4 linked regions of the Canis lupus familiaris genome follow. Each later gene encodes a partner of the first gene's protein in a complex. Links are inferred from orthologs where the notes say so. Each region holds a gene or a part of one and is shown in the gene's direction. Other genes may lie near its edges.

What was found.
Region 2: MFAP1 (region 1) and ZMAT2 share a complex: the UniProt entries of both Homo sapiens proteins name them as parts of the spliceosome B complex. The link is inferred for Canis lupus familiaris from reciprocal best matches to the Homo sapiens genes MFAP1 and ZMAT2.
Region 3: MFAP1 (region 1) and IK share a complex: the UniProt entries of both Homo sapiens proteins name them as parts of the spliceosome B complex. The link is inferred for Canis lupus familiaris from reciprocal best matches to the Homo sapiens genes MFAP1 and IK.
Region 4: MFAP1 (region 1) and SF3B3 share a complex: the UniProt entries of both Homo sapiens proteins name them as parts of the spliceosome B complex. The link is inferred for Canis lupus familiaris from reciprocal best matches to the Homo sapiens genes MFAP1 and SF3B3.

The regions. Positions count from the first base shown.
Region 1 is NC_049251.1:10,844,020-10,848,383, reverse strand, and holds the start of MFAP1 (microfibrillar-associated protein 1), read left to right. Parts: upstream 1-1,553; 5' UTR 1,554-1,717; coding exon 1,718-1,796; intron 1,797-4,364. UniProt on the Homo sapiens protein: Involved in pre-mRNA splicing as a component of the spliceosome.
Region 2 is NC_049223.1:34,979,106-34,983,398, forward strand, and holds the start of ZMAT2 (zinc finger matrin-type protein 2), read left to right. Parts: upstream 1-1,405; 5' UTR 1,406-1,451; coding exon 1,452-1,469; intron 1,470-1,804; coding exon 1,805-1,898; intron 1,899-2,961; coding exon 2,962-3,085; intron 3,086-4,293. UniProt on the Homo sapiens protein: Involved in pre-mRNA splicing as a component of the spliceosome.
Region 3 is NC_049223.1:34,937,092-34,940,740, forward strand, and holds part of IK (protein Red), read left to right. Parts: intron 1-193; coding exon 194-253; intron 254-1,064; coding exon 1,065-1,232; intron 1,233-1,430; coding exon 1,431-1,545; intron 1,546-1,998; coding exon 1,999-2,069; intron 2,070-2,164; coding exon 2,165-2,211; intron 2,212-3,456; coding exon 3,457-3,620; intron 3,621-3,649. UniProt on the Homo sapiens protein: Involved in pre-mRNA splicing as a component of the spliceosome. Auxiliary spliceosomal protein that regulates selection of alternative splice sites in a small set of target pre-mRNA species. Required for normal mitotic cell cycle progression.
Region 4 is NC_049226.1:77,109,272-77,112,920, forward strand, and holds part of SF3B3 (splicing factor 3B subunit 3), read left to right. Parts: intron 1-658; coding exon 659-833; intron 834-2,012; coding exon 2,013-2,218; intron 2,219-2,315; coding exon 2,316-2,472; intron 2,473-3,446; coding exon 3,447-3,572; intron 3,573-3,649. UniProt on the Homo sapiens protein: Component of the 17S U2 SnRNP complex of the spliceosome, a large ribonucleoprotein complex that removes introns from transcribed pre-mRNAs.

The DNA.
Region 1 (4,364 bases):
ACATGCCGTATGTTTAGGCTAGAAAATCGAAACCAACATGCAGTCTTTACCTGAGTCCCCTGGTTCCTCATAACCCGCCCCCCCTCAAGAAAATCATGCCCTGTGGCTATCATATTACCTTCTTCCTAGGAAGGGAAGCATTTTGATTTTTTTCAAGAGCTTATAAGCTGGTTTAAATTTCACCTATTTATCTGCCCACCAGTTAACTAAGAGCCTAGTGATGACCTTACAAGGCCCAAAGGCCAGAAAAAGTTGTGAATCGAATCCTTGTGTCACAAAGTAACAAATAAGATTTTAGTGTCCTGTATTTCTTACAGTCACAGCCATATTTAACTTTTTTTTTTCCTATTCTTTGAGTTGCTGTGAGTCAAAACAATCGTTTTCTCATATTTACTCCATCTGGACAGCATGGTTTTGGAGCTGTTAAATTCAAAATATAAATTTCTACCTAGTCTATTTTTAAGACCCTTTTCTTTCTACCCCATAACTGCTTCCTTGGTCAGTTACATGGATCCTTCACTGTTCCTTGCTCAAGACTTGCCCCATTTTCTTTTCTTTCCCAGTCTAGACCCAATTTTACAACATAGGTGAAATGATTTGAGAACTAATCCTATTAACAGTAACATCAGGGCCCTCCATGATCTGGTTCTCACCAAACTTTCACCACTCCTTGACTCAAAAATCAAACAAAATCAAACTTTTCAGTGTTTGATACATGCCGCGCTATTTGTAGACCTCAAGACTTTGTTCATGCTGCCCCAACTCTCCCTATCACAACACTTAGGAAATCCTTTCTGTGGTGAAATGCTTTCTGACTTCCAATAAACCAATATATATATATATATATATATATATATATATTTTTTTTTTTTTTACAAATCCAGCTAGTAAATTGATTGCCCTAGAAGACTTCCTAAATAAAATTCAAGCCTTTAAGCAATATTCTATACTCCTTAAAGAGCTAAGCACAGCAAACTCAGCAAGTACTTAATAATTACTCATGTACTTATGTAAAAAGTCATGTCTACACAGGAATGTTTTAATAGACGGTGTTGAGAAACTGAAAAAAACTGGAAAGCCTAAAAGCACACCGTTCTGACTCCAAGCATTCATTGTTTCAGGCACCTTACGGGATTTTTTTCTTTTTTTCATGGCAATAGCGTAAATCATCAACACCTGCCCTCACGTGAGGAAAAAAAATACCTCACCACAACCCACTCAGCCTCATCAACTGAGCTAATCAGGGGCTATTATCAGGACTTCTCTTCTCATTAAACTCCAATTCTGAGCTTTCAAGAGTCTGGACAAACTGCCTTTCTCTATCCACTCAATTCCTTATTCATCACTATCTCATTTTCCTCAGCTTCACACAAAGCTAACAAAAGAAACCCGTAATTCGGACCTGCCTCGCCACAGGATCTTAACAGCAAAGGCCAACGGGAAGCAATTTCCCGCCAGAAGCGACGTCCAAACTCTGCGAGACGGAGGAAGCTAGAGCAGCCGAGGAACATGCGCAGTAGCAGCGTCCACGCCCACAATCCCACAATCCTCTGGTCGCATATTTCCGGTTTTTCTATCTCAGACGTAGGTGGTGTTTCTATCTGTTGCGCGGTCGTGCCCAGTGCTTCCAGAGGAGGTTTTTTTTTGTCGTTGACGTTGTTGCGGTTCACTGTTTGGAATCACTGAAGTTTCGGGAATCGCTGCGGCTGCCATCAACATGTCGGTCCCAAGCGCACTCATGAAACAACCGCCCATTCAGTCTACGGCAGGGGCCGTCCCGGTTCGCAATGAGAAAGGTACGGTGCTGAGCCGGTTTCCAGTCGGATTTTACCTCTTCCTTTCCCAGCGTACTGCAAACCTACCGCAACAGACCACCCCAACCCTACCGACCCTTAAGACGCTGCCCCCAAATATCCTCGACTTTTCCCATCAAACTCGCACCCGGTCGCGTTGCCTAAGGGGGAAAATACCCACTTCCATCTCATCTTGTCCATATCGCCCGGCGGCTGCTCTCACAGCAAGCATCCCTCGTCCTTTGGCCTCCACTGTTAAGTTAGACTGTATACACAGTAAATGCCTGCTTTTGCAAGGCGTTGTGCGGAATACGGTCCCTCTTTTGTTTTCCGTAGCAGTCTGTGCCGCTTCTGTAACTCTTCTGTGTCTGTCTCCCTCTACTGCATCATAAACTCAAACGTCCTTGAGACAGGAACCGTGTCTTATTAAACTTTTTATTCCTTTCAACCAACGCTGTGACTGTATGAAGTTGAATACACACTTGTGTGAGGCAGTGCCCTTAATTAACCTAAAGAAACTCATTTTGTAGGTGTGAGACCTGCAAAAAGAGACATTCTAAGCAGTGTGATTCCTGTCACATAGGTGATATAAACCAAACGATATGGAAGTGTAGAGAAGGAATGATCTTTTCAGATTGAGGTAATCTAGGAAAGCTTCTTGAAGAACATGGCATATAAACCGATCCTTAAAGGATCAATAGAATTCCAGTGCAGATAGAAGGAACATGTTTGGAAGGGGTTAGACTAAAGAGTCCCTTTTTTTCAGGAAGGATTTTGGAAAATAATATGAGCTCTTTTTTTATTTTTTAAACATAACAGTACATAATCTTGTGCAACTTGCCTTTTTTTAAAATTCAAGGTGGCTTTTGAGAAATATCCTTTGATATATAAAGAGCTAATTCATTCAACTACTTATAAATTCCATTGTATAAATGAACCAGTTTATTCCTTCCTGGGGGACAGTTGTGTTGTTTTTTCTATTATAAACAGTGCTGTAATTGGCCTTTTTTTTTTTTTAAAGTAATCTTGACACCCACCTTGGGGATCAAACTCATGACCCCAAGATCAAGAGTCATGTGCTCCACCAACTGAGCTAACCAGGCACCTGTTGTAGTTGTCATTCTTAAATGTGCCTCTTTAGTGCACTGTGTAAGAATTTCTCTAGGGTAGACTCCTAAAAGTTCATCATCAACCTAACTAGCTATTTCCAGTTGCTCTCCACAGTGGGTTGTAAGAGCATTAGGAGTTTGTATTTACCCATATATTCATCCACACACTTAGTTGTATCAGATTTTTAAATTTTGTCCAATCGAATTATGAAATATCTCATTATTTTAATTTGCATTTCCCTGATTACTAGTGAGACTAAGCATTTGTCAGCTATCTAGGTGTTCTCAGAATTAGCTGTTTCTGTCATTTATCCATTTTCTACAGTTTTTCTACATCCCAGATCTCTCATATCTTTTTCCTATTTTGTTTTGGTTCTTTGTCTTGTCTTTTCACTTTAATTGTGGAGTTTTCTGTTTCATAGGCCTTTTTAATTTTAGTGTTTTTGGATTTATCAATTTTATCTTTTATAGCTTGTGTTTTTTTTTTTTTTTAAGATTTTATTTATTTATTCATGAGAGACACAGAGAGAGAGAGGCAGAGACAGACACAGGCAGAGGGAGAAGCAGGCTCCATGTAGGGAGCCTGATGTGGGTCTCGATCCCGGGTCTCCAGGATCACGCCCTGGGCCAAAGGCAGACGCTCAACCACTGAGCCACCCAGGCGTCCCTCTTGTGTTGTTTTGTATATTGTGTTAAGAAATCCTTCCCTATACTGAGATCAATTATAAATATTTTCTCAGTGTTTCTATATCCTAAATACGATTGAATACAAAATTGCGCAAGACAGATTCTAATTTAAGGAACTTGTAATCTAGGAAGGATGTAAGTGTTTTAAGATTTTTTTTTCACACGTGGGTCCTTAATCCATGTGGAATTTTTTGTGGGTGTGGTGTCAGAAATCTAATTTTGTTTATGGTTAACCAGTTGTCCTTACAATTCCATTGTTTGACTAACCCATCCATTCTCCACTGCTTTTTAATGTCACTTCTGTAACATACCAAGCTCCTGTGTAAAGGTTTGTTTGCTCTGTACTCTGTTCCATTGGTCTCTATATACCCCGGAGTCATTAATATATTGTTTTAATCACTGTAAGTTTAAACTAAGCCTTGCAATCTGATATAGAAACCCTCCTCCACCTCACTACCTTCTTTTTTTTTAAGACTTTACTGTTATTAAAATTTTATTTATTTATTTATTTATTTATTTATTTATGAGAGTAAGAGAACATGGAGGGTAGGGAGCAGAGGAAAAAGGAGAAGCAGGCTTCTCTTGCAGTGACCAGCAGGGAGCTCAATGTGGGGCTCCATCCCAGAACCCAGAGGTCATGACCTGAGCCAAAGGCAGATGCTTGACCAACTAAGCCACCTGGGCACCCCAAGACTTTTATTTTTTTATATCAATTTTATGTTTACATTTCCCATATACCCTCTGCTCTGACACATGCATAGCCTCCTCCATTATC
Region 2 (4,293 bases), on another chromosome or scaffold:
GCTGTAGGAGGTCCTGAGGACTCCTGGGCTAGTGTGAGCAGCTATTCTGCATGGGTGCAGATGGCTGGTATGTGAAAGAGACATGCTCTAACTGCAGAGACAGATGGCAGATTTGAAGTGCCATGGAATGCTGCCAACAGGTGCTGAGATGGTTGCTTTGAGCAAGGCTCTAGGAAGGTTGCCCCAGGCTGGGACCATTGAGATAAGAAGTCAGATACGTGGCCTTCCATTGTGGCTTCTGAACCAGATTCTGGGAAATTTGTCCACAACCTGCCCTTGGCTTGTCCAGGGAGTATTGGGAGATAGCAAGGAAGGGGCAAATGGCTGCCTTCTCCTTTTGAGGACAGAGATGCTATCCTAAGGGCATAGGAGTGCTCATGGTTGTGGCATCTCTAGCTCAACTGCTGTTAGTAGAGTGAGGCTGTCTGTTTAGTAATTTTGAATGTTGAATTTAATAGGTGACTTGACAAGATGGTCTAATCTTTTGAGATTTTGGAGACCATTTCCTGTGCCAGAATTACTGCTCGACTATGTTCCATGTTGTCCTATGGAGGTGGCTGTTCTAGAAATGATTGGATAATAAATAAAATACTAAATGTAGTAGTTTGAGTGATTTGTTATCAAGAGATTGGTTTGCATAGGCCATAGAAAACCCTCAAGTGTACACTGCACAATTCTGAGAACTAGGAGCAACCTCCCTGGGGTGATGCTTCTGGATTCAGTGAAGGAAACAGTCAGTTTTCCAGTGCCCCCACTCCACCCCCCATCAACTTGGAAATACAGTCACGTCTAAATGAACATAGTGAGATGCATGCCAGAGTTCACCCTACAGCGTTGCTGATGACTGGCCTTTCCAAGTCCCATCATGTTGATTAAATTGTGCCCTATTGATTGAATGATTATAAAGTTCCTCAGTTGAAAGAAAAATGATTTAACCGAATGATGATAGCATTGCTTCAAAATAAAGAGTGTGCAAAAATTGCTTTCTATATATGCGCTGGAAAGGCTGCAACTTAGAGACACTGGGTGTCGCGGGCCATATCTTTAGTGCATACAGGTAAATAGGGCAGCTAGAGGCTCCTAATAATTCCTTCAGCCTTAAAAATTAGAAACTTGGCAAACGGATGCACAGTTGCTTAAGACTAGATCAAAGGGCCCTGATCCAAATTGCTTCCTTGTTTATAAAATAGACCAGTTGAATTAAATCAGATGATTGTTTAGAAAACCAAGGCAAAAGACATTAGTACGCGCCCTTACTTCCGTATTGCTTCATGCTCTCCATGCGCATGCACCATTTCCGTGGGTCAGAGGAGGGGCCGACGACCCTGTTTTAGAAGTCCTTAGCTCGTTTAGAACGCGAAACTCTAAGCTTATTGGAGGGCAAGCTTGCTTTACGGCTCAGGGCCGCTTTTTACGTCATTTTCCGGCTTCCCATTCACTTCGCAGTGAAGATGGCGTCGGGCAGCGGGGTAGGTGTTGTGTGTGAGGAGGCTTTGGTCGGGGGGCAGAGGGTGCCTTCGTAGCGCGGAATATCCTGCACCCAACTGGCTTCTCGACACCTCCTTGCGGCCCAATGGTCCGAGTTCAAGAGCCTCCTCGTAGGGTCCTGGCACAGGGTCTGTGGAATCGCGGAGAACTCTTGGGTTGGGGTCCTGAGGCCACCTCAGCCTTCTGGTGCGGTGTGGAGAGTCTTCGCTCTCGACAGGTCCGGGGGGTCGCCTTGCCGGCGTGGACGCGGTTCCCTCCGTTTCTCTAGGGTTCCGATATGATTAGCGACGAATCTTGAGCGCTTTTTTCCCTACAGACAAAAAACTTGGACTTTCGCCGAAAGTGGGACAAAGATGAATATGAGAAGCTCGCCGAGAAGAGGCTCACGGAAGAGAGAGAAAAGAAGGATGGTGGGTGCCTACTCCCTAAAGGGCAGAGGTATCGTAGAGGTGAAGCCATAGCTGGAGAGCGGGTGGGGAGTTGAAATGCGATGTCCTGGTTGGTACCTTGTGTAACCTCTGGCTGAATGTTGCCTCCCTGGTTCTCCATTTCTTACTGTATAAAATGGGAGGAAAGAGATGGACTGAATATACTCAGAGGTATTTCCCAGCTCTGTTTCCTGTGCTTTCTTGCCTTCTTTTTGCTTAGCTCGTTTTGTACTTTCTTCAAGTGCAGAGAAGAGAGGAGAAGCCTTAGTAGTGACAGAGATGTGGAGTATTTTGCTGCTATGCACTACTCCTATTGAGGAAACTCTTTCCGTTGAAGTCACTTAAGGGGAAGAATATAACTGGTCCAATCAAGTCCTTCCCCTGTGGTCTGAGAAGAGTGAGGGTACTGGGAGGAATGTGTGATTGTTTCAGCTGGTGGTTAGTAGTACTGTTTCTCTGCTTTGTACAATGTTACGGAGTTGATTCTCCTCTCCTAGTTAGAGAATCCATTATACAAAAAGAATCCTTATTTTTTCTTATGCTTTCACTTTACTTTCACACCACCTTGCACAAACTGATCTTTTTAGTTTTGATCTAATTTGTACAGTAGCAAGTAACAGATATTGCCTGAATGTTGGTCCCATTTAGAAAATCTTCCCCAGCCTTCTAGAGATTCTTTTTTGTGTGTTACACTTGGGGTATCTGTCTGAAAGTATTACTGAGTGTCCTTGCTTTTCTTTTAAAAGTTTACTCTTTGTGAAAATTAATTCCTTTCTTCAATTCAGTTAACAATAAAAAACTTTGTTTTTAGACTTATTGGCTTTGAAGTGGAAAAAAGCTATGTAGAGTTTAGGGATTGCATATCATTTTTTCCTGTGTTGAGATTCTCCCTAGTTGCTGCTACAAGTGCTTTTTGTGCCCCCTGCTTCAGGCTTAAGAAAGAAATGAAGAGTAGACATCTGTGTATTGGGTTTCATGCATTTCTTTTCGTTTCTGCTTAAGGAACTCTAATAATAAAAGGACTTTCTTCTGTCTTATATTTTAGGAAAACCAGTACAGCCAGTCAAACGGGAGCTTCTCCGGCATAGGGACTATAAAGTGGACCTGGAATCCAAGCTTGGGAAGACAATTGTCATTACCAAGACCACGCCACAATCTGAGATGGGAGGGTGAGTGACTTTTCATCTTTTTCAGGAGCCAAGACTAGGTCTAATAAACTGTGTTGATTTTAGCAAGTGTCGAGGAGAGGTTCTCTGGCTCCAGGATAGCAATCATGTTACTTATAATTCTATCTTTATTTTTATTTATTTTTTTAATAGTCCTACCTTTAGATATTTCTTTGTGTCACTCCTGTTCCAGGCCTCAACTAAACATGGTAGTGTCTCTAGGAGGAGTTACTCTGTAGACCTCTTCATATTGGCACTGTAACTCTTTCTTAATATCTGAAGAGGAAGAAATGAAGGAAAGGACTCCTGAAAACATTTCTAGGGGAGAGATTTCTCGAGCTAGAATGGAGCCTAGAAGCTGTTGATGGTGAATAAAGGGAGTTGAGGTTCCAGACTGGCTGCAAAGGTTGTAGTTGTTACGGATTGCTTGGTTGTACACTTTCCTCCTAGACCAAGACTATGACCCATGAGAAGAGGTGTCCTGTAAGGACTTTTGTTTTTGCCCACCACTACTACAGTATTCATTTACGTTTTCTAGCAGGAGAGCAAAACAGATAGCAATGAGTGACATGTCTGAATTGCTTAGAAAACTTACATCAGGGATCCCTGGGTGGCTCAGTGGTTTGGCGCCTGCCTTTGGCCCAGGGCATGATCTTGGGGTCCTAGGATCAGGTCCCATGTCGGGTTCCCTGCATGGAGCCTCCTTCTCCCTCTGCCTGTGTCTGCCCCTCTCTCCCCCCCTCCCTGTTTCTCATAAATAAATAAATAAAATCTTAAAAAAAAAAAACACCTCACATCATTCTTTTCTGTATTAGTTACCTATTCCTGTGTAAATTAACTAACTCACCAAAATTTAGCAGCATAAAACAGATAGCTAACAATTTGGGTAAGTAATCTGGAAAGGCTTAGGGTTTCACAAAGCTGCAATGAAGGTGTCTGCTGGGTCTGCATTCATATGAGGCTTAAGTGGGGCTGAATGATTTGATTGAAAGCTCTTTCATGTAGTGCTTTGGAGGCCTCACTTCTTTGCCCCATGGGCCTCTAGTGCTGTTGACAATAAAGCAAGTGGCTTCCCAAGAGTAAGACATGGACAGGCTATTTATTTATTTATTTTAATTTTAATTTTTGTATTTTTTTTTAATTGGAGTTCGATTTGCCAACATATAGTATAACACCCAGTGCTCATCCCGTCAAGTGTCCCCCATAATGCT
Region 3 (3,649 bases), on another chromosome or scaffold:
ATACTTCAGGTGGTTGTGATACTTTCTAAAGCTTAGGACCACTCACCTACAAATGTAGACCTGGATCTCTGCATGGTTGAAGCTGTTGCTTTGTTCCATAATCTAGGCCTTTCTTCATTCTTCAAGGCCACTTGTTGGGGTTTTCTGGGGCTCTGGCAATATTTTGCCATTAGTGAATTTCTCTGTCTTCTAGGATGCCAAGGGAGTACAATGAGGATGAAGACCCAGCTGCACGAAGGAGAAAAAAGAAGAGGTGAAGGAAAGATAGAGGAATGTTGGGCTATAGATTGGATAGTGTTTGAGTGAAAGGCATAGGGGCTAGTAGTTATGAGGCTAGAGATTAAGATTTTTCTGTATTGTCTTGAGGTTCTCTAGTGGATAGGAGTGATAAGTGGGAATTTAGGACTTTGGAGTCAGACTGCAGGATTTCAGTCTCAACTTTACCAGTTCCTGAAAAGACAAAAGATAACTGTGGGCATAGTCCCTAATATTTCTAATTCTTGATATTCTAATGGGTAGAACAGAGAGTGATTTCGTAACTTTCATCTGGTTGTCAAGAGGATCAATTATGATAGTGCATGTAAGCATTTAGTGCCTGGGATATTTTAATTACCCAATAAATCCTATCTGCTGTTGTCACCACCATCATTATCATCATTATCTATAAGATACTAAAATTCCTGGACCTGGTATTTTGCTGGCCTTTCTTTTTGGGGAAGACCAGCAAGGAATGACTTATTTTTAGTTGAAATATGGAAGGTGATATAAATTTAGATAACTTCTTAGTTGTCCTATGGAAAAGTCTCATAACCTGTTAGAGACTCAGTGATACGGCATTAAAGAATTCTGAAGTGACATGGAATGTCCTGAGGCAGCATTGAAAGAGTATCTCTCTGAACTGGATGAAGCCATAGTTCTGATTTTGAGGATTATCCGAGGGTGACAGCAGTACTATCAGGACATATATGAGCTTTCACCAGACAGTTGGATGAAATAGGAAGAATTCTACTGACCTTGGGATAGCAGCTGGTGAGCCTTATGCATTTGCTTTTCCATGGTCACAGTTATTATGCCAAGCTTCGTCAACAAGAAATTGAGAGAGAGAGAGAGCTAGCAGAGAAATATCGTGACCGTGCCAAGGAACGGCGAGATGGTGTGAACAAAGATTATGAGGAAACGGAGCTGATCAGTACCACAGCTAACTACAGGGCTGTGGGCCCCACTGCTGAAGCGTGAGTACCCAGGCTGCCAGGGCATGATTCCCTCAGCCTCCAGAGTCTTAAAGTCACAGTGTGAATTCTTCCTAATGAAAAATGAGCTTTCCCCACTTTGGAGCCCGAGCTGGGCCATTTCAAGAGAGACACTTGAAAGGCACTTTGTGAGAGGCACTCACAAAGGACTGTTTTAATGTGGCTTCTTTCATTATACAGGGACAAGTCAGCTGCAGAGAAGAGAAGACAGTTGATCCAGGAGTCCAAGTTCTTGGGTGGTGACATGGAACATACTCATTTGGTGAAAGGGTTGGATTTTGCTCTGCTTCAAAAGGTGATCCTTGGTGGGTGGGTGGAGAGTAATCATAGAATGCTGAATGCTCTTCTGTGGGCCTTTCAAGGTGAAGGAGGGGAGACTGTTAGCCCACACCATAGAGAAGGGCTAATGGTTCCTCCTATGTAGGACTAAGTGCTACTCATCCTTCAAGTCTCAGCCTCAAGGGTTGTATTTTTGGGGGGGCAGCCATCCCTGATCACCCAAGTATGGTTAAACCCCACTCCTCACTTCCCACTTCCTGTACCCTCCATATCTCTCTTATTTCACATATCACAGTTATCACATTTTTTCATTTGTCTCTTCTGCTGTAAGCTCCATTAGGGCAAGGACTGTATTGTCTTGTTCAGTTTTAAGTCCTTGGTTTCTGGCACAATGTGGTAGATAGTGGTGTTAGGTAAATGTTTGTAAAATGAATAAATGTCTAAACCCTACATGCTTTTTTCCTGTTAGGTACGAGCTGAGATTGCCAGCAAAGAGAAAGAAGAGGAAGAACTTATGGAAAAGCCTCAGAAGGAAACTAAGTGTGTAAACATCAGGGAAAGCTTCTAAGTTTAGGTGAGTGGGACTTAAAGTAGGAACACATTTGGCTAAAAGGAAAATTCTTTTGTCTTTTCAGGAAAGATGAAGATCCTGAGAATAAAATTGAATTTAAGACGCGCTTGGGTGAGTATAGAATTTCTACACTAGAGGTTGTGCATTTTAGGTAAATTATAGGGAATTTAATGCTCTGGGCAGAATATGCTTCCCCTTCGTGTCATACTGTTCTCTTTCTTGCCCCCAGATTAGTGACTTCTCTTAGAATACTCTACTAGAACTCAGATGTGGGGTTAGTCATTTCGTGTATGTTATTAATGTCTTAATTAGGTTGGAAGGTCTTGCAGATTGTAGCTTATGCATTAAGGGAGGTAGCTTACAGCTTATGCATTAGAAGAGCTAGCGTGGTTGGTGATTAAAAGCTCAGAATTTGGGACACCTGGGTGGCTCAGTGGTTGAGCGTCTGCCTTTGGCTCAGGGCGTGATCCCAGGATCCAGGATCGAATCCCACATCGGGCTCCTTTCAGGGAGCCTGCTTATCCTTCTGCCTGTGTCTCTGCCTTTCTCTGTGTCTCTCATGAATAAATAAAGAAAATCTTTAAAAAAGATTTAAAAGATTATTCATGAGAGACAGATAGAGAGGAGAGGCAGAGACATAGGCAGAGGGAGAAGGAGAAGCAGGCTTCTCACAGGGAGCCTGATGTGGGACTTGATCCAGGGGCCTCCGGGATCACGCACTGAGCCAAAGGCAGATGCTCAACCGCTGAGCCACCCAGGCATCCCAATAAAGAAAATCTTTAGAAAAATAAATAAAAGCTCAGAATTTACAGTCAAAGACTGGGGTTTGAATCCTACTGATAAAACCATATGAGGCATGTGATATTAGGCAACTGACTTCACAAGTCTCAGTGCCTGTTTGTCTATCTGCAAAAATGGAGTTAATTCACCTCATGGCAGCAACAAAAAACAGTATATGCATTGTAATTATGTTGCACATGTAGCTGAGCTGATTTTCCCATCATTGTCAGTATCCCCTTAAGCCTCATCCTTCTTCCTCATGGGACCTAATACAATGTGAGGCCCATGGTACTTTTGAGAAGGCAATGTAAAAGAGTGGATAGGAGCTCAGGCTTTGGAGTTAGACAGGCTGGGCCCTATTCTTTATTCCGTTGCTTAGTAGTTGTGTGAATTTAGGTAAATTGCTTCACTCTCAGCTTGAGTATTCTGATCATTTAAAAGGAGATGATAACATGTACCTTACAGGGCTCTTGTGAAAATTGAGGCAATAGTATGTGGCACAGAGTAAGCACTTGCTAAATGGCAGCTGTTGTAGAAGTTTCTCAGTGGCTATGCTTCCTCCTCTTCTTTTCATAGGCCGCAATGTTTACCGCACACTCTTTAGGAGCAAGGCGTATGAACGGAATGAGCTGTTCCTCCCAGGCCGCATGGCCTATGTGGTAGACCTGGATGATGAGTATGCTGACACGGATATCCCCACCACACTGATCCGCAGCAAAGCAGATTGCCCCACCATGGAGGTAAGTGATCCAAGTCCTGAGAGCCTGTC
Region 4 (3,649 bases), on another chromosome or scaffold:
AAGATCATGACCAGAGCCAGAATTAAGAGTTGGATGCTCGATAGACTGAGCCACCCAGGTGTGCCCCAAGTGACTATATTTTTAAGAGTACTTAGGTTCTGCTTATTTTGGACATAGTTTGGCTTAGGCACATCTCTTGGTCTCATTTGACAAAGGTTGTAGGTCCCCTACTCACCATCTCTTTTTGTATGGTTGCAGGTTTCCTGTTTTAGGTGATTTTTGTTCAGGAGAGCACCCACTTTATTTTAGGAAACACAGCACAAATACTACATGTTGAGGCAGTTTCAGTAATTTAGAATGAATTTGGAATTGATGTTCTTTTTTTCAGAGTTTGTCAATAATAAGAGGAAGTTTTAACTCTTTACTGTCGCGTTATCACTGGAGTGACAAAAAAAAAAATTTCACTAGTGAAAACCAGAATTGCAAAAAAAAAAAAAGGAAAAGAAAACCAGAATTGCTGTTGCTGAAGTAGAAGGCCCTTCTAGGATTTCCTTGTTTTCTGTGCAGAATCTTCTAGGTTAGAAGGCTGGTATTTGATGTTAATTTATGCTAACATGAGAGCTTTAGAGATTGATGCATTTGTGTGACTGGTTTTATACTTTTACCTGAGTTTCTAGACCCTGAGTGATCTATTAATTCCCTGCCTTTTGCACAATAGGATTTTAGCGTTGGAGAAGCTAGGTGCTGTCTTCAATCAAGTAGCCTTTCCACTGCAGTACACACCCAGGAAATTTGTCATTCACCCTGAGAGCAACAACCTTATCATAATTGAGACAGACCACAATGCCTATACTGAAGCGACAAAGGCTCAGAGGAAGCAGCAGATGGCAGAGGTAATGTAATGAGACTGGCCTTCAAGGTTCAGCTAAAAAGCATTCATGTGAAATTTTGTTGAAAAGTTTAAACTCGTGTAATTGTTGATTATATTCTGTTAGATTAAAAAAGACCCAGGCTGGGATGCCTGGGTGACTCAGAGGTTGAGTGTTTTGCCTTTGCTCAGAGTGTGATCTCGGGGTCTGGTGATCGAGTCCCACATCAGGCTCCCTGTGAGGAACCTGTTTCTGTCTCTGCCTCCTCTCTCTCTCTCTCTCTCTCTCTCTCTCTCTCTCTCATGAATAAATAAAATGTTAAAAAAAAAAAGACCCAGGCTTTTGTCCGGTCCTTTAAGCAGACCCCTTTGCCTGAATCCTTGTTTTTAGAGATTATCTTGTGACTCAGGACTAATACACTGACCTGGGTTTATTCAGTATTCAGCTTTCCTTTTGAAACAGAGTTCTTCAGTCCTTGAGCTTCCCAAACAGTTTATGTATGTGTTTCCTGGATTCAGGCCCAAAGGAGACAGATTTCATTTTCTCCGTAACACTAGTTCTTTCCAGAAATCATCTCCTAGCAAAAAAACAAATAGCTCCAACCATGTAAAGCTGTGTCTGGCTTGGAAGAGATGAGACAAGGATTTGTAGCAAGGGAAATCAGATGCGATAGGTAGAAAAGTGGTGTTTTCATTTTATGTATCTCAGACCACTCAGGTATTTGCCGTAGTTGATGTTAGGGTTTTTTTAGGCATTAAAAAATGAAGTACCTGGTTTCCCCTTTAGTGGTTTTCCCTCTTCCCCTTATCTGTATACCTCTCCCTTTAATCTTTACTTTATAGGAGATTTGTTTTTGGCCTACAGACTTGGCTACTTACATGATATGAATTCCCCCTGGAGGTGTTGTATATTTGTCCACTTCTCACCCACTACCTACCTCTGAATATACCGACTCTTCCTTTTTTTTTTTTTTTTTTTTTAAGGTTTTATTTATTTATTCGTGAGAGATAGAGAGAGGCAGAGATCTAGGCAGAGGGAGATGCAGGCTCCTCTCAGGGAGCCTGATGCAGGACTTGATCCTTGGACCCCGGGATCACATCCTGAGCCCATGGCAGACCCTCAGCCGCTGAGCCACCCAGGTGTCCCATCTTCCCTGTTTTGTGTGTTTGTTTTGTGTTTTTGTGATTGATTGATTGATTTTAGGAAATGGTAGAAGCAGCAGGAGAAGATGAGCGGGAGCTTGCTGCTGAAATGGCAGCAGCATTCCTCAATGAAAACCTCCCTGAGTCCATTTTTGGAGCTCCTAAGGCTGGCAATGGACAGTGGGCTTCTGTGATCCGAGTGATGAATCCTATTCAAGGGAACACGCTGGACCTTGTCCAGCTAGAACAGAATGAGGCTGCTTTTAGGTAAGGAGCACAGGATGTCCAAGGTTTTGGGAGCTGGAATGAGAATACTTTATATTATAACTAATGCCTGACTCCTGCTTCTTTCTCTTTTTTGCAGTGTGGCTGTGTGTAGGTTTTCTAACACTGGTGATGATTGGTATGTCTTGGTGGGTGTGGCCAAAGACCTGATCCTCAACCCCAGGTCTGTGGCAGGGGGCTTTGTCTATACCTACAAGCTCGTGAACAATGGGGAAAAACTGGAGTTTTTGCACAAGGTAGGAACCAGCCAGTGGTACTCCTGTGTCTCTGGTCCAACTGAAGTCTCCCACTTTTGCTTAAGTTGTGGGTCAGGTCTTTTGGTGACCATTTTGGGAGCCAGCTCATTGATTATGTTCCGTCTCTTGGTGGGACACAGAAACGCTCTGGCTTTCATGCTCCAGTGAAGCTCCACTGCCCGGGGGTCCACAGGAAGCCTGTGTTCTAACCATCCACAATGATGACTTAGATACACACCGAATTGGCCCCTTGTTTATTGCTTTTACTAAGCAGACAGCAATTTGTGACCAAAATCTAGTAGATCTAAATAATTAATAATCTCTGGAGAAATGCCTTTAATGGATAGTTTCCCTTTGGAAAAATAAAGTTCTGGGGATGGTGGTGGTGGTTGCACAACAGTGAAAATGTTTGATGTTATTGAATTGTATACTTAAAAATGGAAAATTTTATGTGTATTTTATCGCAGTTTTAAAAATAAGGGAAAAATTTTCCTGTTCTTCCACATGGACAACAAATGCATGTAGTTCCTCTAGCCCTTTGAAGCACAGGGAAGTGTCCCCTACAAAATAACTACTTGTGGACTTTTTTTTGTGTTAAACTCATTGTATCTCCCTTAAAACTAAGAAGTCACTTGTCACTCCTTTCCCATCCCTCCACAACCAGCAGTCACTTTTTTGATATTGAGGCTTCACTGTTAGTGGCACCAGTTGAATTAACACAGGCTCTAAGACCACATTCATTAGGCTCCTTTGACTTGTGACATTGATCCATTTGCTAAGTGATTTGCAGTGTGTGGGACCTGTTTACGCAACCACCCCATTTCCTAGAGACTGTTGTATGTGTGGTTTATTTCTCTGATGAGCCAAAGGTGATCACTCACTGTTTCTTGTAAAAACATTTTTGGTTGAGAGGGTGGGGCTAGCCTATGGCTGGTGTCCTAATAGCTACATTACCTGCTTTTTTTTCCTCACAGACTCCAGTGGAAGAGGTCCCTGCTGCCATTGCCCCATTCCAAGGGAGAGTATTGATTGGTGTGGGGAAGCTTCTGCGAGTTTATGACCTGGGGAAGAAGAAATTACTCCGAAAATGTGAGAACAAGGTAAATATGCTGGTTACAGAACTTCAGATCTAGCTAGGGAGACAGGAGGAAACATTGACAGAACTGTGGACAGTAAC